Linked DNA regions of Lepisosteus oculatus. Each later gene encodes a partner of the first gene's protein in a complex. Links are inferred from orthologs where the notes say so. Each region holds a gene or a part of one and is shown on either strand. Other genes may lie near its edges.

Evidence for each region.
Region 2: aar2 (region 1) and cd2bp2 share a complex: the UniProt entries of both Homo sapiens proteins name them as parts of the U5 snRNP complex. The link is inferred for Lepisosteus oculatus from reciprocal best matches to the Homo sapiens genes AAR2 and CD2BP2.

Annotation. Positions count from the first base shown.
Region 1 is NC_090711.1:6,133,829-6,150,129, reverse strand, and holds aar2 (protein AAR2 homolog), read right to left. Parts: upstream 8,392-16,301; 5' UTR 8,300-8,391; exon of another isoform or gene 8,255-8,299; intron 7,712-8,254; exon of another isoform or gene 7,709-7,711; 5' UTR 7,707-7,708; coding exon 6,944-7,706; intron 6,656-6,943; coding exon 6,426-6,655; intron 5,905-6,425; coding exon 5,737-5,904; 3' UTR 4,600-5,736; downstream 1-4,599. UniProt on the Homo sapiens protein: Component of the U5 snRNP complex that is required for spliceosome assembly and for pre-mRNA splicing.
Region 2 is NC_090699.1:1,134,683-1,150,550, forward strand, and holds cd2bp2 (CD2 antigen cytoplasmic tail-binding protein 2), read right to left. Parts: upstream 8,250-15,868; 5' UTR 8,141-8,249; intron 7,393-8,140; 5' UTR 7,392-7,392; coding exon 7,317-7,391; intron 6,958-7,316; coding exon 6,837-6,957; intron 6,755-6,836; coding exon 6,597-6,754; intron 5,111-6,596; coding exon 4,573-5,110; intron 4,247-4,572; coding exon 4,161-4,246; intron 3,596-4,160; coding exon 3,485-3,595; 3' UTR 3,194-3,484; downstream 1-3,193. UniProt on the Homo sapiens protein: Involved in pre-mRNA splicing as component of the U5 snRNP complex that is involved in spliceosome assembly.

The DNA.
Region 1 (16,301 bases):
TCAATTACAATCATCGTGTTTTGCCAAAGTAACTCATGGAAAATAATTGCTTGTCAGTGCAATGAGCTGTTCATCCATCGTGCCTTGCGATGGATTCTTGTTAAAATTAAAAAAGAGAGATTCACCCGTTTTCTCTCATCCTGTCCAGCCTGTTTTTCCACCCCAATATGGTCCACGTTTCCCAGACTGCAGAGCTGTTTTCTGCAGAGATTGAAAAGCTATTTTCTTCGGCATGCTGACTGCCTTGTAGCTCATAATTACATCTGATTTAACAAAACCTAGAAATGACGATAACACGCCTATCAGTTCTGATCAAGGAGCTCAAATACATTCAGGAAAACAAAAAACACACCATTGAAAGGAGCCGTTTTACATTCAGGACCAAAGCCAAAGGCAGCTTATCTTACTGGGCTCTCTTGTATAAAGGGCCTTGGGGAATTATCTAGCTAGTTTTCAGTCTTTAAATACTAGGACAGTAAGATCCTGCTTTGGAGAGCTGATAACTAGTTAACCACATTGTGACAACCTAGGTGCTTTGAGAACAAGGCATTTCTGAAATTCATTAGCAATGCGCGTGTGAGCGAGACATGTTTTTACAGTTCATTTACTATTATGAATGCAAGTCACCATGAATAAAGGTGTCAGTTAAATAAATTATTAACAGTAACAAAAAGAAAAAATGGGCTGTGACAAGCTTTGTACTCATTTTTAAGGATTTATATGTCATAAGAATGGAAGGTGGTGTTTGCTTTGGCACAATTGCTATCTTAGACATTTAATATACTTTATATATTTCCCTAAAGCAAACAAAACTATTCCTCATTAGTATATTTTTGAAATTCCAGGGGTACATACTGAGAAGCTCTGGTTTACTAAACCTTCAAAAAATCCAGTTAAGATATTTTTGCATTTTTATCACCTTTTTTTTTTTATAAATCCTCTCAATTTAGAACTGCTAATGTGTGGCTCTTGAAGCGATGCGGATATGATCCTCTGAGATGCTTGCCTGCAGAGACATCCATCATTTGTGGAGTGTGTCTACTGCACACTCTACAGCACCTGCCAGGAGGACCAGCTGACTGACAGAATGACGCATCACTCACCTGTACCATTGCAAGCCTGCAGAACCCAGCAAGACACTGGAGTCACTCTCTGATACACAACCAAGACAAACCTGCCTGGCTAACCCCAGTACTATTCTATCGGTGCTCTGCTGTTGGGGGAAAACCCAATCTTGGCCAGCTAGTGACACGATCTAGTCTTGACCTAGTGATGCCTGGATGATGGAGCTGAACCTGTGCTCTCAGTAAATGCCTTGTGGGAGTGTTTTCCAAGCAGAGGGAGATAAGCCCTCTTAAAGCTTAGAGGAGAATTAAGACCTTCCTTGTGGTGGTTGTGTTGGCAGGTTCCAGTGCCATTAATTAGGGACAACCAGTCACTGCAGTGCAGGGAGAAAAGATAAGCAATGATAAAGATTTAGTGCTCAATCCTAAACTGAATGGTGACAGGATTTGCTGTGGGAGGACCACTGCTATTTCTGAGCAGCATCCAGCTGTTAGAAAATCCAACTCCAGTGGACATGAGGAGCAATACTTTTAAAATCTTTTCCAATTCTTTTTTAAGGCTATGTTTATGGGACAATCTCCGATCTACTACAAAAAGGACACAGTGAGGGAGAAAGCGCTGGAAGTTCACTCTCTACAGACTGTGTTGCCAAAGCAAGTAGATGCAATGTGCCGAGAGTTTAGCCTGACAAGTCTAAGGATACGTTTGCTGATTTCATTTTGCTTACCCAACGCATTTGCAATATGAAAAGTTTTCCCTTTTCATGGATCTTAGATTGCTTTAATTCTGCAAAACCAATTAAAACAATTTGTAACAACATTCAAGTTCCTTTTCAAACTGATCTGTCATCTGTAACAACCAGTGCAAGCTTGATTTCCTTGTAATTATTTCAGATAAATTTCACTTAACAATATTGTCCTTTGTAAAAAAAAAACATGGAAGTAATTAGCCTGTTATTCCATCCAAAGTTATCGTAACCTCATGTGCTCGAATGGCATTACCTTTCAGAGCACTTGAAGGCCACACAAGGGCCTTATTTTGTCCACTTTTTTGAACACATTAGAAAGGCAATTTCAGCCCATGTCTTATGAATGCTGGGATTTTAATGACAGTGCTTTGCAAGCCTGGGAGATTTTAAAATGTTTACAGAACTGACAAATCTCCTCAGCCGATCAAGTGTACAAGTTTCAGATCATGCCGTGTACAAACCTGGTCACCGTTCTGCTCGTCTATGGCACTAATTGGAAGCAGCAGGAGGCAGCAAAAGCTTATTCGCACATAAAGTACCCTGCTTTCAAAGTACCCAGGGCTTAAACTGAAGGTTGCACTTTGGCTCCATAATAGCCAAAAACATAGCAGATCTGTTCAACCTATACCAGTACTACAAAGCAAAACAAATTTCTATTTACCTCATTCTGAGCTCCTCAGTGGCTCACCTTGTAAACAGGCCTGTTCCAAGTACAGCTTGAGCACTACAGTGCAGACATCGCCACTTTGTGATGGGGGCTATGTCACCAGCCAGTCAAAACTGGGACTCTTCTGGCGGCGGCACATCACTGAGCAAGTACCACCAGGGCAAGGTGGGACTGAATTGTCCAGGGTACCTTGGCTTGCCACGAAGAGCAGATCTGTACCCAGCTCAACAGTGTTGTCAGTGAGGGCCAAGGGGTGACTCCAGACAACAGTGCCAGGCTTACTGTGGGACTCTGTCTGCAGGAGAGCATGCTTGGTCAACACTGTCACTGTCCCAGTACAAGATACATAGCAGCAAGCGAAATTCTGTAACAAGTGGGCATCCAAACAAGAAAGGGTTGCACAAAGATAAGAGGTAGCTTATTTTACAAAAGAGGGAAGTTTATTTTTATTTATTTTTAAAAATAGAAAAACAGGCTAAAACCAGAAATAAAAAAAGGGAAATGGGCAAAAAAACAAAACAAGTGCTTCTATCAGATCACTTTTCTTCCTGTGTTTTCACACCAATAGCTTAAACCTTGCAGCTGACATCCAAGTGTTTATTCTAAGACCAAAGAGTCCATTGAGAGGAAGTTAAAGCCCTGGGCATCAATGCAAGACTCCTGCAGGGTCCAGACTTTATTAGGATCTCTGACTCCACTCCAAGCAATTAATCAATTAAATCTATAGTGAAAGATTCATACACACTTTGCATGCTAATTACCATTAACTGACTTACTGGCAACTTTAACATTAAAAAACATGGTATTCCACAGAACATGCACTTATTACAATGTCAGACAGGAAAAAGTCTTGTAAAAGCTGCAATTTGAAATTGAAAAGGGTGCAGTCATAAATATTTTTTCCTCATTTTAGAAATAAGACATGATTTTTTTATGGCACATTTTGGTAAGCATGTCTCACTTCTCAGTAAGTTTAAATAAAATATTTTTAAGAGACTGAAAGAATGCAGCTGGAGAAATTAGGTTATCCAATCATGTCATTAAACCAAGATCTATTTTCCAGAGAGGAATGTCTGTGATGTTAACTTGCTAGACAAGCATCAGGTCTGTTCCTGCAAAATGAATACCACTGCACCTCAGAAAAATGCCCTGTTTTATTTCAGCTTTCTAAAAGGGAAGTTCAGTAGAACTGACTTTTCACTTTCTAAGAATAAAACAGCAGGGCGTCTTCACTCTCCAACAAGTGACTTGAAAACCTTGGTTTCAAGTGCCATTGTAAAGCCTTAATGTCAGGCCAGGCCATTGAGAAAGTATTATAAAACACTGACAAGTACAATAAATCATTCCAAAGCAATGTAAGGACTTAAAGTACAAAAACACTAAAAAAACAGAGTAACTACAGAAAATAAATTGTCGTGTCTCTTATTTTAACACCAAATATTCCCTTAGTACATAAAATGTTATATCAGATTGCAAACTATGACCTTATAAACCCAAACTGTACCTTTTTGGTTTTTATTTAGTTAACAAGTTAACATCTAATTTTCTGTAGGACGTGCATTTTAATAAAAAAATGTGCAATTCACTGTTTTCATATGAGCCTTTTTGGTTTTATTGTTTACTCGTGTCGTGAACAACGTTTCAGTAACAACGGCAATGCTGAGTTAAGGTCGCCATCTAGTGGAGAATGTTAAAACGACAATAGCTCACAATACCCGACTGGAAACGCTGTAAAAATGCAGGAGGGTCAAGATGGCGAGCATGCCTGGGTTACCCCCCTACTCTTTTCGAGAAACCCCCTGGGCTGTAGCTGTAATTTTAAGAACACAAGCAATCAAGTTATTCTATTCCAATCACGTTATTCTTAATCTAAGGTCCATTAATTGTATTACAAAGGACTTCAGACACAAATGAATTGTTCAACCAGTACCTCAGCTCTTGAATAGACATTAGTTAATTGATTTGAAGTGTAATTAAGCTCTACCGTCAAAGACACACTGTATCCTTAAGTATAGCAAGGAAAACAAAGCTACAAAGCATGATGAAGTGTAACCTGATGACCAAGACAGGAAAATGAAACTTGAATAAGTGAGACAGAAGTAACCAATCACAAATTCCATTAAGATGATAAAATATTTTATTAAAGGGAACATTCCTGATCATGTCTTTACAATCTGCAACAATAGGGGGCAAAAAATAGAATTTCTTCCTTTTCATTTCGTGCGAGTTGCGTAAGTAAGAGGTATTGGGCAAGTGCATGGCTTTGTAAGGTGTATGGCAGCTGGTATTGTAGATAAAACCTACAGAAGTATCATGACATTATTCCTTGAACAGCACTCCATGCAAACTTACGGTTTGCTCAAGCAGACATTTTCTCCACATTCCCATGTCTTGATTCTGAGATATAAGCAGAAATCATTTTTTTGTGTTGAGCACAAATCACTGAGACAACAGTTACAATCCTTCTGATGCAAAATATAATATGAGTAAGAAAAGGGGTTAAGTGCTTTGGAAATGCTTGCTGTTAGTTGGGACTACCATTGGAAAAGTAAAAACTAGATTAAAATGTTAGATCATATCAATCTTATTCTTCTTCAGGGTATATGGCTGTTTACATCATTTTATACTTAAATATTACAATAAGCAGTAATCTGAAATCTACCTACAATTGTATCACTCATGAAGTAGAGAAAATAAAATAAACTTATTAAATTGAACAAAAGAGAGATATTTTCCAGTATCAAAAGATGAGTTTAATGTCTTCCTGTGATCTGTATTTTCTAGAGACCATGTCAACGTTAAGTCTTCAGACTTTCATTCAATTTTTAATTTCATTCACACCCCAAATACCACAGTAGTTGCAGAAACTTCAAAATCATGAGAAGTCTTTACGTTTTGTAGTCACATATGTGAAACAAAACAGAGCACCGAACAGCTTCCAAAATCCAATCAGGAAATGAAAAACCTGTCTCCTTGTCAAGAAGTGATACAGATGGTTATCTTCAGAGATCTGCTCAGAGTGCTGTCCATCTGTGTGCCACAGAGCAAAATGTTATTAAAAAAACATCTACAAAATTCCCAACAAGCCCACACTTTTCTTTTTGGAAACCAGACTTCTCTATTCCACTACAGGTCTCTGTTACAAGCACAGTTGATCAATCCCAAAAAAAATCCAGTGCCGTCAGGAATCCATAACTCACCGATATGCCCAACATCCTGGCTCGACTCTCTTGTTGGGCTGTCCCAGACGGTAGCCTTATTCTGGAGCCACTCCTTCTGGCAGCTCTACAACCACAGGGGCACATTCCTCGGGGTCTATCTCAAAATCCCACCGGAACTTCTTGGTCAGGTAGACTTTGAACTTTTCAGCCCGTTTCCGAAGACCACTGTCCACACCAGGCCCACTCGTGAACAAAAAGAACTCCTGGGCAAGAGTAAAATCAGAGATCAGTGCAGAACATGCAGATGGGCCACATGACCACCTCTCGTTTATTACCACCCTCGTATTCTCCTGGCTGGTGTTATAACCACCCTCGTATTCTCCTGGCTGGTGTACGGCAAAAAACAAAAGAAGAACATGATTTTGTTTTAAATGAAAAACGTCTGACTAAGCTTCTTTCTGTACTCTTCCCTAGCTACTCTTTTATGTATAACTCTCAGATACTGTGAGTCCCCAGATAAACTGGTAGATCAAACACGATCTCAATTTTCAACAGAAAAAAAAAACTCGGAAGAGAAGACAACTTACCATGGTAAAACTTGGGGTGACAAACAGCTTAGATAATGAAAATCTATAAGAGCCCCGATTATGGCCTAAATGAAGCGCTAGATCACGCAGGACTTTAACCCTTCTTTTACTATTCATATTCTGGATTTGGAGTCTTCCTACGCTGCACAGCACTGAGGCAGCAAGACCAGCTTTGTGAAGAGAACCAAACAACCTACCTGCAAGGTGGAAGTGAGAAAGTTGTCTTTGGATACGATGTCTACAAAGAAATCGGGGGGAATCTCTCCCAGCTGGTGGTAGAGAACAGGGATGAGGTGGAGGTACAGGTTCCGGTGGTTGAGTATAGCCTCTTCAGAGCGGCATAGCAGGTTCAGAAGACATTTCCAGTGCTCAAAGCTCTCATACACATTCCCAATCAGGAAACACACAAATGCAAACTGCAACTCCCCTGGACAGCAAAACAGAAAAAAAAAAAAAAGAGAGAAGGAGGAGAGGAAAGGTCATTTACTTACAAACTGCATCAAAAGCAAAAGCTTATTGGAATCCTGAAAACTGAAGTTTGTTAGAATTACACTGAAATGAATGGCATTCAACTACACAGGCTAGTAGTCATCTCCTGATTTACTGTATGTGTTCAGAAAATAAAAAAGGCTGGCATTTTATAGCATCAATCAATGCAAGGAACTGTAAAGGCTTTGAATTGTGTCAGAGTGTGTTTTTTCAGTCCAGAACTCACCCAGCACTTGCAGTGGCTCGTCTTTGTAGTAGCGTTCTAGTAAGCTGTTGAGGGCATAACTGAGGTCCATACTGTACTGGGTGATTTGGGCAGGTGTGGCCCCCTCAGGGTAGGTCTGTTTGGGGATCTCTGAGAAGCGCAGCTCTGTGCCGGCTCTCAGCTTCATCTTAGGCAGCCTGTCCAAACCCTCCTGCATGCTCTGGCACTGGATGTCGTACCGTGGGAGGTTCTGCTGGACCCGATCTTCCGTGTGAGGCAACGACAGTTCCGGTACCACATCGCTGAAGGCACAGATCTTGCCATTCAGGGGCTGCAGGCGTTGTGCAACCTCCTGGGTGACGCGGTCCGTCAGGGAGACCCACTTCCGAAGCATGTCGTAGGGGTACGGTCCCAGAAAGCGGTCCAGATCGCGCAGCCCAGCCCGCACCCGGGCCACTTCCTCCTCGTTCTGGGAGGCGGAGAAGTCCAGGTCCTCTTGCTGGCTGTCCCAGTGAGCCAGCAGGACGTCTCGGGCTTTGAGAGAGAGGAAGACCCCAGTCCGAGGCCCAGTCTCCCCTCCTTGCTCCGGCTTGTTGGAAGCGCTGTAGTGCAGGAAGTGCAGGCCCGGTGGGATCATCTTGACCCCTCGGAACCTGGGACCCACCTGCCAGGTCTTGTAATCGATCCCCAGCTCCGACCCCTCGGGCACCCCCAACAAAACCAGTGTGGCCCCCTCCTCAAACAGACTGCAGGCCAGTTCAGGATCCATGTCCATGCTGGCCATATCTACTAGAAAGAGCACAAAACTGACAATTAAACACTTACATGGACCACAGCAAGACATCAAATAAAATAACCTAGGAGCTAAGGTTTTAATAAAGCAAAACATTGTGACATTTCTGAAACAAAAGGACCTAGGTATGGCTCCTCCATAATACTCGACAAGGCTTCTGCAACTACAATTCGCACCTAAAATAGTCAACTTATCTACAATGGAAAAAAAAACGACAATTCACTTTTAAATTAAGTCGTTCTTGTGGCTCCAGACAGCGTGAGAATGAAATGTCAAGATCAGTTTACCCGGTATTTTACATTAAAAAGTGCTAAGAATGATCTATACTATCAGTCACAATCACTAACCCCAACTTAGAAAAACAAAGATGTTTTCCCATAGTCGTATAATTCCTTTAGCACAAAGATGCAAGTATAAAATTACGAAAAAAAAACTGTGTTGAAACGTTTCGTTTTAAAAAAATCTTTCTAATTAACTGCGACTTCAACAATACGATTTCTTGGCACTGTACCGTAATTTTCTAGCCAGCAAAACGTTACCTTTGAGGGCCTAATATATATTTAGTCAATATATAATGAAGTCACCTGAACGATCACGGAGCGTAGCTCTGTAGCATAGCAGACAAAACTCCACGTTCCTGAACGTAAACGCGTAGCAACGTATTGTGTACCAGAGAGCTCACTTCCGGTCCTTTTTTGTTAAGGAACCAAAAACCAATTAGAAAAAAGGTTCCGATTATACAATATAAACATTTTAAGAATCTCCATAGAAAATTAATCCTTAATAGGTATTGGCCTCATTATGGAGCAGGTATGGCACCATTGGAAAAACTTCCCTATAGAAATCTGTAAAAAAAAAACATAATAAAGTAAAATTACGATATTTAAACAATCTGATATAAAAACAATATGTATTTTAGTCTTTAAAATAATAGTAATATTATTCTCGGGGGGAAAATACTAACACAAAAGAACTTAGGGCAATAGTAGATGCCTCAATGCAGGGATAAAAAAAACATTCCACAGCTCTTGAGGAGTTATTTGTTAAATTGGACCAATTTACAAACTTCTCCCTGCTCTTCAAATTCCGGCTCTCTAATTAGACATATAAAACCTATGTTCAGACTGGCCAACCAGGACTAGGTTTAGTCCACTGTGCTATAATTCAAAATGACTACACACCTATAGGGCCAAGCTGAATTCAATTGTTGTTCTAATCTTTATTTTAGCATGTAATATTAACTACCTTGAAATAATATTCAGTGAATTGAGGTGTTTTTAATCTAAATCCACAGTGTATTACAAGACATGAAATAAAATCACAAAGCTAATCAAATAAAGTAGGATTAAAATACTTCATATACAGTAAATGTAATAACAATAATTCATAGGAAGAAAAGACATGGTTTATTTAAACCGATCTATAAACTGCAGTCTTGTGCACGTCATGAAACAGATGAAAGATGGCCATCATTGAAGTTTTGAACACAGAAACATCCAAATATACAACAACATGCATTTTCTGTTTTCTTTTATTGACCTCACTCTATTTGCACCTTAGTCACAAACTATCTTATAAAGGTTATACAATCTTTTACAATATCCATTTAAATCAAGCTTCTAACTCTCAAGCATATGATAGCATTGCATTTCAATAAAAGCACCAAATGGAGAGCTCGAATCTTTTCCCTTCATTGACCTCAAAGTACTGAAGAAAGAGCTGCACGCGTGACGTCACCATGGGAACGGCACCATCTTGGATACCAACTGAACGTCAACACCTTGAAGGTCATTCTGTTAATCAGCTAACTTGACTCATAACAACCCTATAGTCATATAAACATTTTCTTCAGCTAATATATTTTTGGATGGATCTTGGAGACAAAATCAATACCCACAATAGAACATACAGGCAATATAGTATGTAAATACAGTACAAAGGACCAGCTATACAGGCAATATAGTATGTAAATACAGTACATGTTAACAATATAACTTTACGTTAGCCATACAGATTAAACAGCATTTTTAAATGTCTACAATAATAAATGCATTATAGCTTAAAAAGATCTTCTTAGACCATATTAATAACAAGATATGCTATTTTATAGCATCATTTATGACACCATGCTGATATTGTAAGACAGGCACATCTCAGAATTAATTAGAATATTGTGATGGTGAACAACATCAACTAAAAACAAAGAATCTATCTCTTGGAAAACATATAATTACAAACATAAATAAAAAAATAATATTCTTGTTCTTATAACTAGCATAGGTTTAGGTTAAGGGGATACATGTTAATAAATAGTACAACCTACTAAACAAAAAAATAAAACAGAAGTTGAAAAGTCTTTTATATTTTAATTTTTAAATGATTAAATGAAAAATGATGCATTTAATACATCTAACTCTCAAAGTCCCAGTATCTATACAGCATACTGTATGTGAGTATGGTACATTTCTATGAATATGTAAGTGTCTTTCCAAATATTTCTTCTTAAAGTATTTATAAAAGCTCTCACATTAGGTGTGGCAAAAGCTTATATTTTGTACAGTTTTTGACTGTAACTGCTAAAATCTTTATTGATTATTTACAAATCCCTTAACAGTTCTTTCCTTTAGTGTGTATTCCTCCTAGTTTATGTCTTTCTTTTTGGTTTTGGAGAATACATGATTTGTAACTTCTTCCAACACAATATTAAGGCCTCGATAATCTTCTTTTTCTTTTTTTTCCTTCTTTTCCCTCCTAAACCTTTACTATTTGTGCATACTGGGTCACCTTCTGATCTTCTTATCTGAAAAACAAAATACCAAAGCATATATTCCTTGTTAACCTCTTGGAGAAAAAAATCATTTCTTTTGAAGCATCACCAGGTGAGAATTTGTGTTGTGTACATGCGCTATTCAAAACTGTGGAAGCACAGCGAACAATGATGTTGGGGAAAAGGAGAATATTGTTCTCTCTTTTTCACTACAGTCCCTAGATTCACTTCTATCTTCACATCCCTGAGCAGAAATTCATTATCACAGACTTTTGTTCCTTCTGAAATCACCAGCAGTTTCAGAACCTACTGTACATGAGGATTAAAATCTCCAAATTGATTCCTTAATCAATAAGAATAAGCCTTAAGTGAGTTACTTAAATTCTTTTCCTGAAGTCTGTTGATGATTAAAATAAACTTATAAGTCTGTTGATGATTATAATAAACTCATAATATCTGCTGGACTTAAGCCCTCTTCTAAAGTGTTATATCACAGTAACTTACCAGGTCAGCATAATTGCAGTTTTGTTTAATAACCATTTCCATTCTTTTCACAGGGTTACCTAGGTTATTTGATCCTTTACCTTTGACTTGACATTTAAAAAACTGTGTCATATTGTAGATAGACTGCAGGATATGGTGTACCTAAAATAATCAAAATAAAATTTCAGGGTTTGAAACAAAGCACTGGCAGAGCAATTAGTTGAATTCAGATATTAAGCTAGAAGGCTATTTAGCAGATAATTCAGACTTTGCATCCTATTCCAAGACATGCTTCCTCGTAAGTGTCCAAAAGCATAATGAAAAAAAAACTTCCCTTTTAATTAACTTCATGTTTCTCTAAACCTATAGAGTATCATATTTACAAAAGATTTACAGCCCAATCATCAATCTTCAAATGAAAAGTACTCAGTTCCAGCACAAATTATACTCTGCTGTATCATCATGCACTGTTGCCTAGCCATGAAAAAACTGATTATGGGGTGGCAGTATACAACTTACTGCTTGAAAATCGTGAAATTGTTCTCCACGTTTTCTCTTATAATTTCTCCTCTGACTATCAGAAATCCCCATGCTTAGCTCAATGAGTAACTTGATGGACTAGTTTTTTTTGAGAACTCCTAGTGGTTTGACTGACATAAGACCAACACCTTTCACAATTCCCTTGACCCCAATGGCACTGAAACACGAAAAAAATAAATCTGCCGTGTGCTGTCCTTGGTGCTGAATACCTCTCTTGTAAGGGAGAATGGTATTGAACTGTTTTCTTTCTGACCTGCCTCCTGATCTGAATAAAGGTTTTTGTTACAGAATCAATGCATTTTATGTGACAATATGCTTAGAAATTAAAACTTACTGACTTTTCCTGACAATTGTTCAACAACGGGCTTACTGTGGCTTCATAGAACATTGTTCTACTTGTCATGGTGCATGCAAAACAGGACTAGGATGTGACATCTTGGAAAAGGAATTAAAAACTGAGTTATATTGCTCAGAATACTGTCTTCTATTGTTCTTATACTCTACGGATAGAAACCGGTGCCCTACAGAAATAATTATGTTCACTCATGTATTTTAAGATAGTGTATACAGCCTCCCTTGGGAATTCTGAGATTTATTTTTTTCTGTATTCTTTGTTTTCCTCCTGTTCTAAAAAATATACGAGAATATTACATACTGTAACTATAACGATATGCATTAATTAACTTTAATAGAGTACTAGGTACTGCAAATACACAATAGACCAGTCTAGATTCTGTTGTTTACATTTTAATTAAATAGATTTGTTAATTGTTTTTCTAAGATAACAATACAGTTAGCGTAAGTCATGTAACTTCCTACAGTTGTCAGTCTAATAGAATTTGGAATTTAATTTGAGTTACGATTGATAGCAGTAGTGTATTATGAATCTTTACAAATCTCCATTCACAAATTATACTCTTGATTTTAAGTCATGCAAGAAAGGCAAAACATACAACTGAGCTTTGTCCGAGTAATCACTATCATCCATGCTCTCAGCATGAACGAAGGTGATTTAGATTTTGTCTAGTGTATATATACATTTAAAGATCCTTGGAGTTTTACATACTATACCAGAATACCAGACACATACAGTATACATGTATACTGTACAGGACATACACACATCAGGTAAAGTACACACAAGTTACATTAGTGGAACTAAAATGGCTAAACTCTAAATCATACCTTTCCAGAGGGGCAATGGTCTCTTAAATTTTTATTTTCACTTGATGTGTCATAAGGACCTGTGAGGTTCTAAAAAAGAAGAATATTGATCAGTCCACAACAGCAATTAATTTAGGTTGAATCGCTACAAGATCTCCCAAACCACAAGAGGGCAGTAACTCACTGACTCTGACAATGTTTCGCATTGAGAAAGGCTGTTGCCTTTTAGTATTTTAAAATAACTCCCGTAAAAGTCAGGCAAATAACATCATGAATGCACAGACAACATACCCACATACAGTATAAATCCAACACACACTCAAACATATATAAAGATGAAGTTAAATAGTATCATCACCCGAAGAGGGACTTCTGTCCACAATGACGTGTACCTACAGTATATTCTGTAAAATTATTTTAACCATTAAACCTTGTAGTTGGACACTACACGAAAGCTTTTTTGATTTATTGAGCTCCTCATTTTGCAATAGTTCCTGTTTCATTACAAACACATACATAACAAGTACATACCAGGCTTTGGAGTTCTGTGAGGATTAGTTCTTTGTAAGCGATGAGGATCTCTTGATAGTTGCACCTCTGTCTACTGTTTGAGATGTCCGAAAACAATACCGTTACCACTAAAATACAAATCAGAGTCCTGGAGACACACTAAAAAAGAGAAATAAGATTAACAAACTCAACTGTCTCTTCTCTTATTACTATTGAAACTTCTTACAGCCGTAAAGAAGCGTTTTGTCCGAGCTTGTGAACGTCTGGCTTAATGAACAGCTGTCTTCGACAGTGTGTTTGGAAATATTCATATTAAGTATATATATATATTCATTAAGCAGTGGCAAAGAGCTATCCAGTAGTCAAGTCAAACTATGAAACCTTAAACGGGGAAAACGTACTTCAAAAAGCATTTGTGGGAATTACTGTACTTTTGAACTGGTACTCATTCACTGGGTTCCAGAATGCAATATTACAAACCCGTGACTAATGTGAACACCTTTAAACCCGTTTATCTATATCCGTTTACCGAGTTCGTGTCACAAACCGCATTAGACCCTAATCACTCACACACACGACACAGATATGCGCAGTTCGATAAAGAAGCGTTGTCAAAAGCGATCTCTTACCTACCATTTATCATTGTCTACTGGATGATCCTCAGATTTTTGAAACCCATTTGTCAGGCAACCACAGCAACAGAAGTTTCTCATGGTCAAACTGCGATTGCATCTACCGCGTTTCAGACATGCACTCCCTTTATTCCTCGACGGTCCCCGAAATGCAGTTTTGGGCGACGCTCGGAAATATCACTGAGTTTATTCTTACTTAAATTCTTTAAAATTAAAGTCGGCGTGTCTCTGGCCGGACGTGCAATGAAGTGGACTTTGTGCCATGGCATGCAACTGAATTCAACCCCTAAGCTCAAATTTCGTACCCCGTCATTTACTGTTGGTGGTGGGCTTCTCTTTTCACGTAAATCTAGTCTGATCAAGTCTTGAAAACTTCCGCGATCAATCACCATGCTTTCAGTTTCGTTAAACAAGAAAAACAAATCGTGTTAACATTAAATTTTTGTCTGTAGAGTAACGAGATAGCAGGTACCATGGCTGTAACGATACCTAGTTAAACTGCCCCTTATTTGACACAATGGAGAAGAGACCAGCTGATCGCTTTTCGTGTGCCGCAGGTCGTTTCCACACTTTTGATATGGGTAAAACTGCTGGTTCAGTTCACGTTTTCACACATTTAACCCTATTACACCCACAGCATTAGGCACTCTTAAATATCATTATCTTTAAAACATAAATCTCCAAGTTACCATAGCAATGTTAGGTAGGGGGTATTGTATGTTACGCACTCCAAATACATTAATTGAATTCGTCAATACGTGTTTTTTTTTTAGATTATACAAATTGTACGATTCCTAGACATTTACACCGCACGAAAGGATTTCCTGCGATTTTCTTTTCAAGAAAGAAAATTGGTGGTTTGACTTGAGTTTCCCGGGACAAGTGCTTTGCACCTAAAGGAGCAGCTTCACAGAACGCAGAATCAAGTTATCCGTTTAAAAAACTGCAAACGTCTTTGGTTTGTAACCAATTTATAAAATGTGACAATAAATGCGAACGGCAAAACAAGGTCTTTTGTTTCATTCTTATGTGTCAGCATGTGAAAAGACAGATTATTTCAGGATGATATTACAGATGATATTCTGTTTGACAAGGGACATATAATTGTAGCTTTGTCGAATGCCTCATCAATAAGCCCAGATGCTGTTCCTTGCCGTTTATTTCTACTATGGTATGTGTTTTTCACAAAAAATAAAAGCCAACCACACAAAGGAAATCCCCGAGAAGCAATCATACAGTTGCATCAACGTCGAGGGAATAGTGAGTGATCCATGTTTATTCTGCCAAGATTACTTGCGGCTTTGCGTCTCTGGAACGGTTTTCAATTTAGATTGATACATTTTTTCAGGCTTTATTTCATCCGCCTCAATTCTTTTGCTAACGTATAAATTACCTACTTGCCGGAACCCCTAATATTTAACAGATATCAACTAACAGGTTCTTAATTTACACATAGATATAGGTCTGCTGGCAGTGATTTAATTTGTATCCCAAAGAGTGAAGTAAAAGAAAACTTTATTATACTGTATTGAGACTGCGGAATTCATAGCCATGCCCTATTTAAAATCCCTTTTACAAAATTGCTTTTAAAACCAGACTTTTCACACTCGTTCTCATTCATATCAATGTTAGCTTGGTCATTTTAGCTCGCGTTATTTACCCTTTTTTCCATTTGAAATATATTTGTAAGGGGCTGAGTCTGAAAGGTGTTATAATAATAATGTTATTTATTGTGTAAAGAATATTACTTTAAAACCCAAACAAACAACAAGATTATTTTTTATTTTATCTCCAAATTTGTATCCACAATATTTTGTAGGGACAAAATATTATGACACAATTATGTAGGGACATTTGTTAATAGTAGTTTTATTAATCCATTTTCCTTTAATTAAAAAGATTAATGGAAAAATAACTTACAAGTAAAGGTCAGCTTCATACATTTACAGTTACCATTCAGTTTTCTCCCTTTTCAACAAAGTAAGCAAGTCAGGACACTTTTACATACAGTAGGAGGCAGTTACAATTACTGCCAAGCTCACTGTTGACCAAAAATATATCACTCAAAGGCTTCCCGAGGTAAATGCATTGTCGCACTACATAGGATACAGTCACAGTTTAAAATAAATCCAGCACTTTCAAACTGTAGTCTATGTCCCAGATCCAAAATAAAACAGAAAAAGAAATAAAATCTGTATATAAACCCCAAAGGTCGCACAATATTTACAAAGAGGAATTATTACATAAATATATTTTGTCAGGCCAAAAGATGCTTCAGTTCAGCGACACTAGATAGGACATCAATCCTTTGCTGAAGAAAAAACCAGGGGAGGTCGAAGGGTGATAAGTAGGAAACAGCACTTATAGTAATCATTCCTTAAAAGACAAAACAATACAACTTTTCACTTTTTTTATAGATGCATTTGTTGTTTTTTTAAAAAAACACACAGTGTGCAGTTTACATTTGCATGACAGGAAACGGATTTTCAG
Region 2 (15,868 bases), on another chromosome or scaffold:
ACTGGAGGGGTACAGTATGACCCAGACTGGACCAGTGATCTCTGGACTGGAGGGGTACAGTGTGACCCAGACTGGACTGGAGGGGTACAGTGTGACCCAGACTGGACCAGTGATCTCTGGACTGGAGGGGGACAGTGTGCCCCAGACTGGACCAGTGATCTCTGGACTGGAGGGGTACAGTGTGACCCAGACAGATCTGGAGGGGTACAGAGTGACCCAGACTGGACCAGTGATCTCTGGACTGGAGGGGTACAGTGTGACCCAGACTGGACTGGACCAGTGATCTCTGGACTGGAGGGGTACAGTGTGACCCAGACTGGACCAGTGATCTCTGGACTGGAGGGGGACAGTGTGCCCCAGACTGGACTGGAGGGGGACAGTGTGACCCAGACTGGACCAGTGATCTCTGGACTGGAGGGGGACAGTGTGACCCAGACTGGACCAGTGATCTCTGGACTGGAGGGGTACAGTGCGCCCCAGACTGGACTGGAGGGGTACAGTGTGACCCAGACTGGACTGGACCAGTGATCTCTGGACTGGAGGGGGACAGTGTGACCCAGACTGGACTGGAGGAGTACAGAGTGACCCAAACTGGACCAGTGATCTCTGGACTGGAGGGGTACAGTGTGACCCCAGACTGGACTGGAGGAGTACAGAGTGACCCAGACTGGACCAGTGATCTCTGGACTGGAGGGGTACAGTGTGACCCCAGACTGGACTGGAGGAGTACAGAGTGACCCAGACTGGACCAGTGATCTCTGGACTGGAGGGGTACAGAGTGACCCAGACTGGACCAGTGATCTCTGGACTGGAGGGGTACAGTGTGACCCAGACTGGACTGGAGGGGTACAGTGTGACCCCAGACTGGACCAGTGATCTCTGGACCGGAGGGGTACAGTGTGACCCAGACTGGACTGGAGGGGTACAGTGTGACCCAGACTGGACTGGACCAGTGATCTCTGGACTGGAGGGGTACAGAGTGACCCAGACTGGACCAGTGATCTCTGGACTGGAGGGGTACAGTGTGACCCCGACTGGACTGGAGGGGGACAGTGTGACCCAGACTGGACCAGTGATCTCTGGACTGGAGGGGGACAGTGTGACCCAGACTGGACTGGACCAGTGATCTCTGGACTGGAGGGGTACAGAGTGACCCAGACTGGACTGGAGGGGTACAGTGTGACCCCAGACTGGACCAGTGATCTCTGGACTGGAGGGGTACAGTGTGACCCAGACTGGACTGGAGGGGTACAGTGTGACCCAGACTGGACCACTGATCTCTGGACTGGAGGGGTACAGTGTGACCCCGACTGGACTGGAGGGGTACAGAGTGACCCAGACTGGACCAGTGATCTCTGGACTGGAGGGGTACAGTGTGCCCCAGACTGGACTGGACCAGTGATCTCTGGACTGGAGGGGTACAGTGTGACCCCTAACACATGTGCCCAGCTCACTGACTGGCTCATCTATAACTTCACACTCACAGACCCATCAGCAGCAGCGCTTCAAAGGCTCGGTTCGGCCAGAAACAGGCGCGCTGTGCGTGGGCCGGAGACGGGAGCTGTGTGCACTTCTAACCAATCAATCGATCGATCGATACCAAACCAATAAACCGACATACCTCGCTCTCGCGCGGGCTCCGGGTGACGTCAGAGAGCCGCTTCCAGTCCGAACTCCGCTTCCTGACGCGACGCGGCAGCAGGACGGGTCCGGGAGACACCGAACCCGGCAAAATCCCAGCCCGAGTCAGGAGCCCGGGCCCACCCGTGGGTGTACTGGGACCCTGCCCACGGACACGCGCACCGGGTCGGGTCGGGTCCGGTCGGGGTCCGAACCCTAGATGCGCGAGCGCCTCTCCACGGCTTTTCGGGCTGCGCCCATCTTCTGCAGAGACACAACACTCGCTTCCTCTCCCAGACTGTTCCAAAGCGTGATTCCCCCCGCGAGTAACAACACGAACCTGCGCGCCGCGACGCTGTTCCCCTGTTTGTCCACCAACCCGTAAACAGACCAGCACCGCCGTCGCCGCCACTACGCCGCCTCTCACGCACAACCTAACCCAGCCTCCGGCCCCGCTGCTGGCCAATCACCTCTCGCTCTCGTCCGCCAGCGCCCGCCCCTCTGCTCTGGCGGAGAGCCCAGCCAATGAGAAGCAGTAGGGCAGCAACGGCCTAGCCAATGGGAGCCGTTTCCTTCAGAAGGCAGGCCAATGGGAGCTGAGCAAATGGAGCTGGGCTTTCATCCTCGCAGAAACTTGGAAAGTCTACCAATCGGCGCACTAGGACGTGAAGCGCTGCCCAATCAGAAGTACGCAAACTTCGAGAGGGCGGGATCTGATTGTTTCTGTTGAGGCGGGACTTGGACGTTGAAGGGGTCATTGGCCGCAGCCGTGCGGCGCAGCAGTGACGCAGTTTGTGCGACACTGACTTCTTACGGACAGCGGTGTTTGTGTCCGCAGGCTGGAGCTTCACCGTTCGCTCTTCAAGGAGCCGCCCTCGCTCGATCGGGGCTGGTTTCGCAGAGACTGAGATTTGTCAATTCAAAAGGAGAAATTGTTCAATTATCATACAGATAGAGACACACTGTCCTGAACTCTGCCGGACTGGTCAGTGTCCGTAAAGACACACTGTACTGGACTGGTCGCTCTCCGTACAGACACACTGTGGTGGACTGGTCACTGCGTACAGACACACTGTGGTGGACTGGTCACTGCGTGCAGACACACTGTACTGGACTGGTCGGTGTCCGTACAGAGACACTGTGGTGGACTGGTCAGTGTGTGTACAGACACACTAGACAGAGCTCTGCTGGACTGGTCAGTGTCCGTACAGACACACTGTGGTGGACTGGTCACTGCGTACAGACACACTGTACTGGACTGGTTACTGCATACAGACACACTGTGCTGGACTGGTCAGTGTCCATACAGAGACACTGGACTGGAGTGGTCACTCTGTACAGACACACTGTGGTGGACTGGTCACTGCGTACAGACACACTGTGGTGGACTGGTCAGTGTGTGTACAGACACACTAGACAGAGCTCTGCTGGACTGGTCAGTGTCCATACAGAGACACTGGACTGGAGTGGTCACTCTGTACAGACACACTGAGCTTGAAATACAAATCACATATACACTATAAATAAAAAAAATACAAAGTAAAAAATACACAAAAATGAACATAACTGCATGTTTAAATCTAAAGTCATCCTCTTTCCTTTATTACAAACTGAGCAGAACTGTACAGATACAGAACATCACCATGGAGAACAGCTGTATGTCAGCTGTCGATGTGCACAAGAGTGTGTCAGTGCATGGGACTGTGTGTGTAATAGTGTGTGTGGAGGAGTATTTATGAGTGTATCAGTATATGTGCGTTTAAGAGTGTATGTGTGTGTAGGAGCATATGTGTGTAAGAATATTTGTGTATCATTGTATGTGTGTAAGAATATTCCTGGTTCTGTGAGTGTGTAGTTGCAGATGTCAGGTATAGAGCTCGAAGTCCAGTCTCCTAGAGTTGTAGAACTGTGCACTGGGATGTCCAATTCGCCGGCAATAAACTCCTTCTTTAAAATAGCCCTGATCAACCCAGTCCTGAGAGAGAGAGAGATCAGGGTTACATTACACACAGGACATTAACACTGCACTGAGAGAGAGAGGGGTTAATACAGACACACTGACTGGACACTCCAGTACATTAACACTGCACTGAGAGAGAGAGGGGTTAATACAGACACACTGACTGGACACACTCCAGTACATTAACACTGCACTGAGAGAGAGAGGGGTTAATACAGACACACTGACTGGACACTCCAGTACATTAACACTGCACTGAGAGAGAGGGGTTAATACAGACACACTGACTGGACATACTCCAGTACATTAACACTGCACTGAGAGAGAGAGAGGGGTTAATACAGACACACTGACTGGACACTCCAGTACATTAACACTGCACTGAGAGAGAGAGGGGTTAATACACACACACTGACTGGACACTCCAGTACATTAACACTGCACTGAGAGAGAGAGGGGTTCATACACACACACTGACTGGACACTCCAGTACATTAACACTGCACTGAGAGAGAGAGGGGTTCATACACACACACTGACTGGACACTCCAGTACATTAACACTGCACTGATATATTAACCTGCATCTGCTGGCTGCTGAAAGGCCCGTACAGCTCTGAGTTCTCCTTGTTCTCCCACTTGTACTCCCACATGACCTCCTGGCTCACTGAGAGAGAAACACAGAGAGGAAACTCTGAACAGTCAGAACACGTGGGGTCAGGTGCACGTGCAGTACTTCGTGACCAGTGAAATAGGTTCAAACACACACACACACACTCACACAAGTATGCACACACTCCCTCACACTCACACTCACAGATGCACTATCGCACAAACTCACTCAGACACACACTCACTCAAACACATACACTAAGTCTCAGAGACACACACTCAGACACACTTTTACACACTTACCTAGATACACTCACAGAGACACATTCACACACACACTCATGCACACTCTCGCACACACACACACTCTCTCTCTCCCACCTGTCTCTCTCTCCTCCTCCTCCTTCCTCTTCTCCCCTTCAGTCCCGTCAATCTTGTCAGCGAACATGTCCAGCTGCTCGTCCTCCTCGTCTTCCTCGCCCCGCCCGCCGCCCGCCGGGGCTTTGACCTTCGACCTGTAGGCCAGGCTCTCGTAGGTCTGCTGGTAGATCTCGAAGTCGCCGCCGCCCACCAGCCTGTCGGCCAGCGCGGTGAGCCGGTCAAGCGCCGGGGCGTCCCGGCCGCCCGCCCCCAGCCCGCCCAGCCTGCGCAGCGCCCTGGCCACCGTCTCCCCCGGCAGCAGCAGCTCCACCACGGCCTGCGTCAGCTGCTGGCGGCTGAGGGAGGCCAGGGGGTCGGGCGGGGCGTCGGCGCTGGTGTCTGGGGCGCCCCCGCCCTCGCCCTCGCCTCCGCCCCCGCCCTCCCCGGCCCGCTGCTCCCTCTCCAGCTCCTCCTGCGCCTCGTCCTCGTCGCCCGCTCTGCGCCGGCGCTTGGCCGACAGCCCCCGGCGGCGCTGTGGGGGACGCTCTCGGATCTTCACCTGGCAGGAGGGACAGGGGCAGGGGCAGGGACAGGGGGAGGGGGACGGGGGACAGGGACAGGGGGAGAGGGACAGGGGGAGAGGGAGAGGGAGAGGGGGACAGGGACAGGGACAGGGACAGGGTCATTGACGCCATTCCAGATTCTCTCTCGTGTACGTACGGTGTACTAGAGGAGTTTCACCCTCATTGGAATACAAGCCCACTCCTTCACCTGCAGAAGACCCCGCCCCTGAACGCCCACACGAGACCCCGCCCATCACGCCCACACGAGACCCCGCCCCTCACACCCACACGAGACCCCGCCCCTCACACCCACACGAGACCCCGCCCCTCACGCCCACACGAGACCCCGCCCCTCACGCCCACACCTACAGACCCCGCCCCTCACACCCACACCTACCGAGCCCGTCCCTCCGCCCCCTCTCACCTGCAGAAGACACACACTCACACCAGAAGACGCACCCCCCAGTACCACCCAGGTCCAGTGTGACCTGGTCTACAGTCTGACCTGCTATAATCCAGTTTTAAGATCTGGCCCAGTTGTGGTGTGACCCAGTGCTATAGTCTGGCCTGGTTCCAGTGTGACCCAGTGCTACGGCCTGGCCCAGCTGTGGTGTGACCCAGTGCTACGGCCTGGCCTGGTTCCAGTGTGACCCAGTGCTATAGTCTGGCCTGGTTCCAGTGTGACCCAGTGCTACTGCCTGGCCCAGCTGTGGTGTGACCCAGTGCTACGGCCTGGCCCGGTTGTGGTGTGACCCAGTGCTATAGTCTGGCCTGGTTCCAGTGTGACCCAGTGCTACTGCCTGGCCCAGCTGTGGTGTGACCCAGTGCTACGGCCTGGCCTGGTTCCAGTGTGACCCAGTGCTATAGTCTGGCCTGGTTCCAGTGTGACCCAGTGCTACTGCCTGGCCCAGCTGTGGTGTGACCCAGTGCTACGGCCTGGCCCAGTTGTGGTGTGACCCAGTGCTATAGTCTGGCCTGGTTCCAGTGTGACCCAGTGCTACGGCCTGGCCCAGCTGTGGTGTGACCCAGTGCTACGGCCTGGCCTGGTTCCAGTGTGACCCAGTGCTATAGTCTGGCCTGGTTCCAGTGTGACCCAGTGCTACTGCCTGGCCCAGCTGTGGTGTGACCCAGTGCTACGGCCTGGCCCGGTTGTGGTGTGACCCAGTGCTATAGTCTGGCCTGGTTCCAGTGTGACCCAGTGCTACTGCCTGGCCCAGCTGTGGTGTGACCCAGTGCTACGGCCTGGCCTGGTTCCAGTGTGACCCAGTGCTATAGTCTGGCCTGGTTCCAGTGTGACCCAGTGCTACTGCCTGGCCCAGCTGTGGTGTGACCCAGTGCTACGGCCTGGCCCAGTTGTGGTGTGACCCAGTGCTATAGTCTGGCCTGGTTCCAGTGTGACCCAGTGCTACGGCCTGGCCCGGTTGTGGTGTGACCCAGTGCTACGGTCTGGCCCGGCTGTGGTGTGACCAGCTCCAGTCTCACCCAGTCGATGTTGTCCAGCCAGTTGTCTCGAATCTGCTGCTCCTTGTTGAGGAAGTAGTTTCCCTCCGAATCAAAGTGTCCCTCCTGCATTTCCTCTTCCAGGTTAAAGGGCGTGATGCGCACCCCCTCGTCAAAGTCCAGGGTCGCCGATTCCTGGCCTGCACAGGGGAGACAGCGGGGGAGTGAGAGAGCAGACAGAGTGAGCCGCACTCACACGGCGACGACAGAGTGAGACAGTACCCTCCACATCGTCACTGGCCAGCATGTCATACTTCTGTCCCTCTTCCTCTTCCTCCTCATCACTGTCCAGGGAATGTTTACCCTTGAACCTGGAGCCAGGGCCACTGACATTGTCACACACCTGCAGCAGGGAGAGAGAGAATCACACACACTGTTACACCCGCAGAAAGAGAGACAAAAACTGTCACACACCCGCAGAAAGAGAGAGACACACAGTTACACACCCGCGCAGAGAGAGAGACACACAGTCACACACCCGCAGAGAGAGAGAGACACACAGACACACACCCGCAGAGAGAGAGAGACACACAGTCACACACCCGCAGAGAGAGACAAACACACAGACACACACCCGCAGAGAGAGCGAGAAACTGTCACACTCAGTACTGTGTTCACATACAGTCTCATACCCTCCAGACAGGGTCTCTACTCAGGACTGTATTAACCATATGGTATTTCTGCTGAGAAAGAGTACTGAACCTTCTTATTTGGAGGGTCATTCTCCAGACTGTACTCTCCATTCTCATCCTCAAACATCACCCTGCGCTTCGACATCCTGAGGGAGACAGAGGAATAAGGCAGAGAGGGGTTAATACAGACACACTGACTGGACACTCCAGTACATTAACACTGCACTGAGAGAGAGAGGGGTTCATACACACACACTGACTGGACACTCCAGTACATTAACACTGCACTGAGAGAGAGAGGGGTTAATACAGACACACTTACTGGACACTCCAGTACATGAACACTGCACTGAGAGAGAGAGGGGTTAATACACACACACTGACTGGACACTCCAGTACATTAACACTGCACTGAGAGAGAGGGGTTAATACACACACACTGACTGGACACTCCAGTACATTAACACTGCACTGAGAGAGAGGGGTTCATACAGACACACTGACTGGACACTCCAGTACATTAACACTGCACTGAGAGAGAGAGGGGTTCATACAGACACACTGACTGGACACTCCAGTACATTAACACTGCACTGGGAGAGAAAGAGGGGTTAATACAGACGCACTGACTGATTTAACGATTCAATAACATGATTAACCACAGAATAACAATCTGAATGTAATCCCAACAGACAAGTGTACTTTGAAGTGACAGTAGGTCTCTTTAATTTCTGAATCTCTCCAGTATTTACTGGAGATGATCACACAGCTCCAACAGTATTACTATCCAGAGTTACTTTCACAGCACCAAACAGAAAAAAACATGAGGACAGACCCAATGAGAATTCCGTACGATTGTGCTTATCATTAGTACTGATATGTAATATTATTTACCTTTATTTTACAGCTGTGCTCACGACGTGAATTATTACAGCGCCACAATGCGCAAACAAGAGGAAGTGACGTAGATAAACAGCGCCGCCGAGGGAGGAAGTAACCTCCTTCCTTTGAGAAGAACGGGAACAGTCGCAGATTATTGACGTCATGTCGATCCGGCCGTGCCAGACCTTTGTAAAAGATATATCTAATAAGTATAATTTTTAGTTTTTACAACTGTGGATTCCTCTGGCTTTGAAGTGTCTATTTCTGTATATATTTCATTATTCTGTCTCATTTTTTGTATTTCTGGTGTTTAAATAAAATATTTTAAAATATTTTACAAACATATGTCAAACTCACAAAATTTAGCTCTTATCATAACAGTGACGTTTTCGCCTCAGACTCGAGGCACGACGCGGCCCGCTCAAGAGAGATTACCAGTAACCCCAGTAAAAAAGACTCATTGGTGCTCATCGATCTGGGAAAAGATACAGATCTTACAGCATCGTGTCTGAGCCCCGATCCACAGTCTTTTTTGTATTTAAACAACAAAAGGAAATACAGTATAAACAAGAGTTCGTAAAACATATCGATAACATCGTTTAAACAGAGTAAATAGAGATAAGGTCCGCACCGCTTTCATGTTTTCACATTTCGAAACAGTCTACAAATACGCCCTCACATCTATGTTCAGACACAGGACTCTTCCTGAGTAGAATAACGTCCCGGTATAATAATCGTCAATTACAAAATATATTTTCGTTTAGTTCCAATGGGATTGAAGTTCAACATCACGTCTGTTTCCTTAAATATGATTAATATTCGCCTCTTTTTTATATAAGTTTGCAAATCAGTCCAGAAGGTTTTTACAATAGAGAGATTAGACGAGATGAGTTATTGATCCCGAAGGGAAACTGAGGCGTTACAGCAGCCCAGCCCAAGACGAGCAAGAACAGACATCGGACTAGACGGAAAATTAAAACAAGTACAGCAATACAAAATCAAATAAATAGAGTAAGCAAAATATGCTCATAGTCACTGTCAAACAATAAAAGATGTGCAAAATGTGCATGGGTATATGCCGGGAGGAAGGACCTGCGGAAACGTTCCCTTGAACACCGCAGCTGGAGCAGTGTGTCACTCAAAGTGCTCCGCTGCCTCATCACAGTCATAGCCACGAGCAAACAGGACAGAACCAAAATACATTTCTGGCTTCTGCCTTCCCATTCCCACAATCCTGCTGAGGAGAGAAGAGAGAAAACACAGCGTTTCGGCTGCAGGGTCTTCTCCAGGTGTGTCCTGAAGAGTGTGTCCTGCACTCCCAGGGAAGACTCCACAACCTGACTGTACCCCTGACTGTACCTCCAACTGTACCCCAGTCTGTACCCCTGACTATACCCCAGTCTGTACCCCACACTGTACCCCAGACTGTACCCCAGACTGTACCCCTGACTGTACCTCAGACTGTACCCCAGTCTGTACCCCTGACTGTACCTCAGACTGTATTCCAGACTGTACCCCACACTGAACCTCAGTCTGTACCCCTGACTGTACCTCAGACTGTACCCCAGTCTGTACCCCAGACTGTACCCCAGACTGCACTGCTTCATTACAGACTATAACTCAGACTGAACCCCAGACTGTACCCCAGATTGTACCACTGACTGCTCGAAGGAAGGCGTTGTATTGGGGCGGGATGGTGTGGTGGCTCTGGAGCTCAAGATCTGTGCCTGTGGCTGGGGGTTACTGGTTCGAATCCTGCGGCCGCAGAGGAATCCTACTCCATTGGGCCCGTGAGCCAGGGCCTGACCCCCAGCTGCTCTCCCTGTGTGTGTGTGTGTGTCTCCTGGAGGGCAGGCTGGGATCTGTGACAAGACAGACTCCTCACACGAGAGACTGTAGATGGCCCCCTGACTGTACAGTGTCCCTCAATTCTAATATTAACAATAATAATACAGTGTGTGATTTCCTGTCACAGCCTGAGGAACAGACAGTGAGCCTGTCTCTCAATAATAATAATACAGTGTGTGATCTCCTGTCCCAGCCTGTGGAACAGTGAGCCTGTCTCTCAATAATAATAATAATACAGTGTGTGATCTCCTGTCCCAGCCTGAGGAACAGACAGTGAGCCTGTCTCTCAATAATAATAATACAGCGTGTGATCTCCTGTCCCTGCCCGAGGAACAGACAGTGAGCCTGTCTCTCAATAATAATAATACAGTGTGTGATCTCCTGTCCCAGCCTGAGGAACAGACAGTGAGCCTGTCTCTCAATAATAATAATACAGTGTGTGATCTCCTGTCCCAGCCTGAGGAACAGACAGTGAGCCTGTCTCTCAGTAATAATAATACAGTGTGTGATCTCCTGTCCCAGCCTGAGGAACAGACAGTGAGCCCGTCTCTCAATAATAATAATACAGTGTGTGATCTCCTGTCCCAGCCTGAGGAACAGACAGTGAGCCTGTCTCTCAATAATAATAACACAGTGTGTGATCTCCTGTCCCAGCCTGAGGAACAGACAGTGAGCCTGTCTCTCAATAATAATAATACAGCGTGTGATCTCCTGTCCCTGCCCGAAGAACAGACAGTGAGCCTGTCTCTCAGTAATAATAATACAGTGTGTGATCTCCTGTCCCAGCCTGAGGAACAGACAGTGAGCCTGTCTCTCAATAATAATACAGTGTGTGATCTCCTGTCCCAGCCTGAGTAACAGACAGTGAGCCTGTCTCTCAATAATAATAATACAGTGTGTGATCTCCTGTCCCAGCCTGAGGAACAGACAGTGAGCCCGTCTCTCAGTAATAATAATACAGTGTGTGATCTCCTGTCCCAGCCTGAGGAACAGACAGTGAGCCTGTCTCTCAATAATAATACAGTGTGTGATCTCCTGTCCCAGCCTGAGTAACAGACAGTGAGCCTGTCTCTCAATAATAATACAGTGTGTGATCTCCTGTCCCAGCCTGAGGAACAGACAGTGAGCCCGTCTCTCAATAATAATAATACAGTGTGTGATCTCCTGTCCCAGCCTGAGGAACAGACAGTGAGCCCGTCTCTCAATAATAATAATACAGTGTGTGATCTCCTGTCCCAGCCTGAGGAACAGACAGTGAGCCTGTCGTGTGATCTCCTGTCCCAGCCTGAGGAACAGACAGTGAGCCTGTCTCTCAATAATAATAATACAGTGTGTGATCTCCTGTCCCAGCCTGAGGAACAGACAGTGAGCCTGTCTCTCAATAATAATAATACAGTGTGTGATCTCCTGTCCCAGCCTGAGGAACAGACAGTGAGCCCGTCTCTCAGTAATAATAATACAGTGTGTGATCTCCTGTCCCAGCCTGAGGAACAGACAGTGAGCCTGTCTCTCAATAATAATACAGTGTGTGATCTCCTGTCCCAGCCTGAGGAACAGACAGTGAGCCTGTCTCTCAATAATAATAATACAGTGTGTGATCTCCTGTCCCAGCCTGAGGAACAGACAGTGAGCCTGTCTCTCAATAATAATAATACAGTGTGTGATCTCCTGTCCCAGCCTGAGGAACAGACAGTGAGCCTGTCTCTCAATAATAATAACACAGTGTGTGATCTCCTGTCCCAGCCTGAGGAACAGACAGTGAGCCTGTCTCTCAATAATAATAACACAGTGTGTGATCTCCTGTCCCAGCCTGAGGAACAGACAGTGAGCCCGTCTCTCAGTAATAATAATACAGTGTGTGATCTCCTGTCCCAGCCTGAGGAACAGACAGTGAGCCTGTCTCTCAATAATAATAATACAGTGTGTGATCTCCTGTCCCAGCCTGAGGAACAGACAGTGAGCCTGTCTCTCAGTAATAATAATACAGTGTGTGATCTCCTGTCCCAGCCTGAGGAACAGACAGTGAGCCCGTCTCTCAATAATAATAATACAGTGTGTGATCTCCTGTCCCAGCCTGAGGAACAGACAGTGAGCCTGTCTCTCAATAATAATAACACAGTGTGTGATCTCCTGTCCCAGCCTGAGGAACAGACAGTGAGCCTGTCTCTCAATAATAATAATACAGCGTGTGATCTCCTGTCCCTGCCCGAAGAACAGACAGTGAGCCTGTCTCTCAGTAATAATAATACAGTGTGTGATCTCCTGTCCCAGCCTGAGGAACAGACAGTGAGCCTGTCTCTCAATAATAATACAGTGTGTGATCTCCTGTCCCAGCCTGAGTAACAGACAGTGAGCCTGTCTCTCAATAATAATAATACAGTGTGTGATCTCCTGTCCCAGCCTGAGGAACAGACAGTGAGCCCGTCTCTCAGTAATAATAATACAGTGTGTGATCTCCTGTCCCAGCCTGAGGAACAGACAGTGAGCCTGTCTCTCAATAATAATACAGTGTGTGATCTCCTGTCCCAGCCTGAGTAACAGACAGTGAGCCTGTCTCTCAATAATAATACAGTGTGTGATCTCCTGTCCCAGCCTGAGGAACAGACAGTGAGCCCGTCTCTCAATAATAATAATACAGTGTGTGATCTCCTGTCCCAGCCTGAGGAACAGACAGTGAGCCTGTCGTGTGATCTCCTGTCCCAGCCTGAGGAACAGACAGTGAGCCTGTCTCTCAATAATAATAATACAGTGTGTGATCTCCTGTCCCAGCCTGAGGAACAGACAGTGAGCCTGTCTCTCAATAATAATAATACAGTGTGTGATCTCCTGTCCCAGCCTGAGGAACAGACAGTGAGCCCGTCTCTCAGTAATAATAATACAGTGTGTGATCTCCTGTCCCAGCCTGAGGAACAGACAGTGAGCCTGTCTCTCAATAATAATACAGTGTGTGATCTCCTGTCCCAGCCTGAGGAACAGACAGTGAGCCTGTCTCTCAATAATAATAATACAGTGTGTGATCTCCTGTCCCAGCCTGAGGAACAGACAGTGAGCCCGTCTCTCAGTAATAATAATACAGTGTGTGATCTCCTGTCCCAGCCTGAGTAACAGACAGTGAGCCTGTCTCTCAATAATAATAATACAGTGTGTGATCTCCTGTCCCAGCCTGAGGAACAGACAGTGAGCCCGTCTCTCAATAATAATAATACAGTGTGTGATCTCCTGTCCCAGCCTGAGGAACAGACAGTGAGCCGTCTCTCAATAATAATAATACAGTGTGTGATCTCCTGTCCCAGCCTGAGGAACAGACAGTGAGCCCGTCTCTCAATAATAATAATACAGTGTGTGATCTCCTGTCCCAGCCTGAGGAACAGACAGTGAGCCCGTCTCTCAATAATAATAACACAGTGTGTGATCTCCTGTCCCAGCCTGAGGAACAGACAGTGAGCCTGTCTCTCAATAATAATAATACAGTGTGTGATCTCCTGTCCCAGCCTGAGGAGCAGACAATGAGCCTGTCTCTCAATAATAATAATACAGTGTGTGATTTCCTGTCCCAGCCTGAGGAACAGACAGTGAGCCTGTCTCTCAATAATAATAATACAGTGTGTGATCTCCTGTCCCAGCCTGAGGAACAGACAGTGAGCCTGTCTCTCAATAATAATAATACAGTGTGTGATCTCCTGTCCCAGCCTGAGGAACAGACAGTGAGCCTGTCTCTCAATAATAATAACACAGTGTGTGATCTCCTGTCCCAGCCTGAGGAACAGACAGTGAGCCTGTCTCTCAATAATAATAACACAGTGTGTGATCTCCTGTCCCAGCCTGAGGAACAGACAGTGAGCCTGTCTCTCAATAATAATAATACAGTGTGTGATCTCCTGTCCCAGCCTGAGGAACAGACAGTGAGCCCGTCTCTCAGTAATAATAATACAGTGTGTGATCTCCTGTCGCAGCCTGAGGAACAGACAGTGAGCCTGTCTCTCAATAATAATACAGTGTGTGATCTCCTGTCCCAGCCTGAGGAACAGACAGTGAGCCTGTCTCTCAATAATAATAATACAGTGTGTGATCTCCTGTCCCAGCCTGAGGAACAGACAGTGAGCCCGTCTCTCAGTAATAATAATACAGTGTGTGATCTCCTGTCCTAGCCTGAGGAACAGACAGTGAGCCTGTCTCTCAATAATAATACAGTGTGTGATCTCCTGTCCCAGCCTGAGTAACAGACAGTGAGCCTGTCTCTCAATAATAATAATACAGTGTGTGATCTCCTGTCCCAGCCTGAGGAACAGACAGTGAGCCCGTCTCTCAATAATAATAATACAGTGTGTGATCTCCTGTCCCAGCCTGAGGAACAGACAGTGAGCCGTCTCTCAATAATAATAATACAGTGTGTGATCTCCTGTCCCAGCCTGAGGAACAGACAGTGAGCCCGTCTCTCAATAATAATAATACAGTGTGTGATCTCCTGTCCCAGCCTGAGGAACAGACAGTGAGCCCGTCTCTCAATAATAATAACACAGTGTGTGATCTCCTGTCCCAGCCTGAGGAACAGACAGTGAGCCTGTCTCTCAATAATAATAATACAGTGTGTGATCTCCTGTCCCAGCCTGAGGAGCAGACAATGAGCCTGTCTCTCAATAATAATAATACAGTGTGTGATTTCCTGTCCCAGCCTGAGGAACAGACAGTGAGCCTGTCTCTCAATAATAATAATACAGTGTGTGATCTCCTGTCCCAGCCTGAGGAACAGACAGTGAGCCTGTCTCTCAATAATAATAATACAGTGTGTGATCTCCTGTCCCAGCCTGAGGAACAGACAGTGAGCCCGTCTCTCAATAATAATAATACAGTGTGTGATCTCCTGTCCCAGCCTGAGGAACAGACAGTGAGCCTGTCTCTCAATAATAATAACACAGTGTGTGATCTCCTGTCCCAGCCTGAGGAACAGACAGTGAGCCTGTCTCTCAATAATAATAACACAGTGTGTGATCTCCTGTCCCAGCCTGAGGAGCACGCAGCCTGTCTCTCAGTAGTGTTGTGTCATGTAGCCGACAGTTTTTTAAATGTTGACTCACTTTTGCTGCTTTGGCGGCACTGTGACTCAGCCGTCATGCCAATAAAGCTCTGTGAGTTTGAAAGTGGTTGAGAAACGGGGAAGTGCGGCGGCCGGGAGGGAAGGCGCTCAGACTCGACCCGCAGGCGTGTTGCTGCTCCGCCGCCGGCGCTGCAGGTGAGCCGACAGGCGCCGCTCGCACGCGCGGAGCCGCACCTGGAAGTGACGCGCAGGTGTGACGCGCAGGTGTGCCGCCGCTGCCCCACCCCGCGCAGGTACACTACCGCCGCCCGTGACGCGCACGTCAGCACACGGCCGCGGACACGCAGACTGGGCACCGGGAGCTGCTTACCTGAGACTCCGGTAAGAAACCAGTTTGCAAACACTTTCTATACCCAGTGTTCAGTGTGCAGTATTCAATACAGTTTCTATACACTGTGTTCAGTGTGCAGTATTCACTACACTTTCTATACCCAGTGTACAGTGTGCAGTATTCAATACAGTTTCTATACACTGTGTGCTCAGTGTGCAGTATTCAATACAGTTTCTATACACTGTGTTCAGTGTGCTGTATTCAATACAGTTTCTATACACTGTGTTCAGTGTGCAGTATTCAAGACAGTTTCTATACACTGTGTGCTCAGTGTGCAGTATTCAATACAGTTTCTATACACTGTGTGCTCAGTGTGCAGTATTCAATACAGTTTCTATACACTGTGTTCAGTGTGCTGTATTCAATACAGTTTCTATACACTGTGTTCAGTGTGCAGTATTCAAGACAGTTTCTATACACTGTGTGCTCAGTGTGCAGTATTCAATACAGTTTCTATACACTGTGT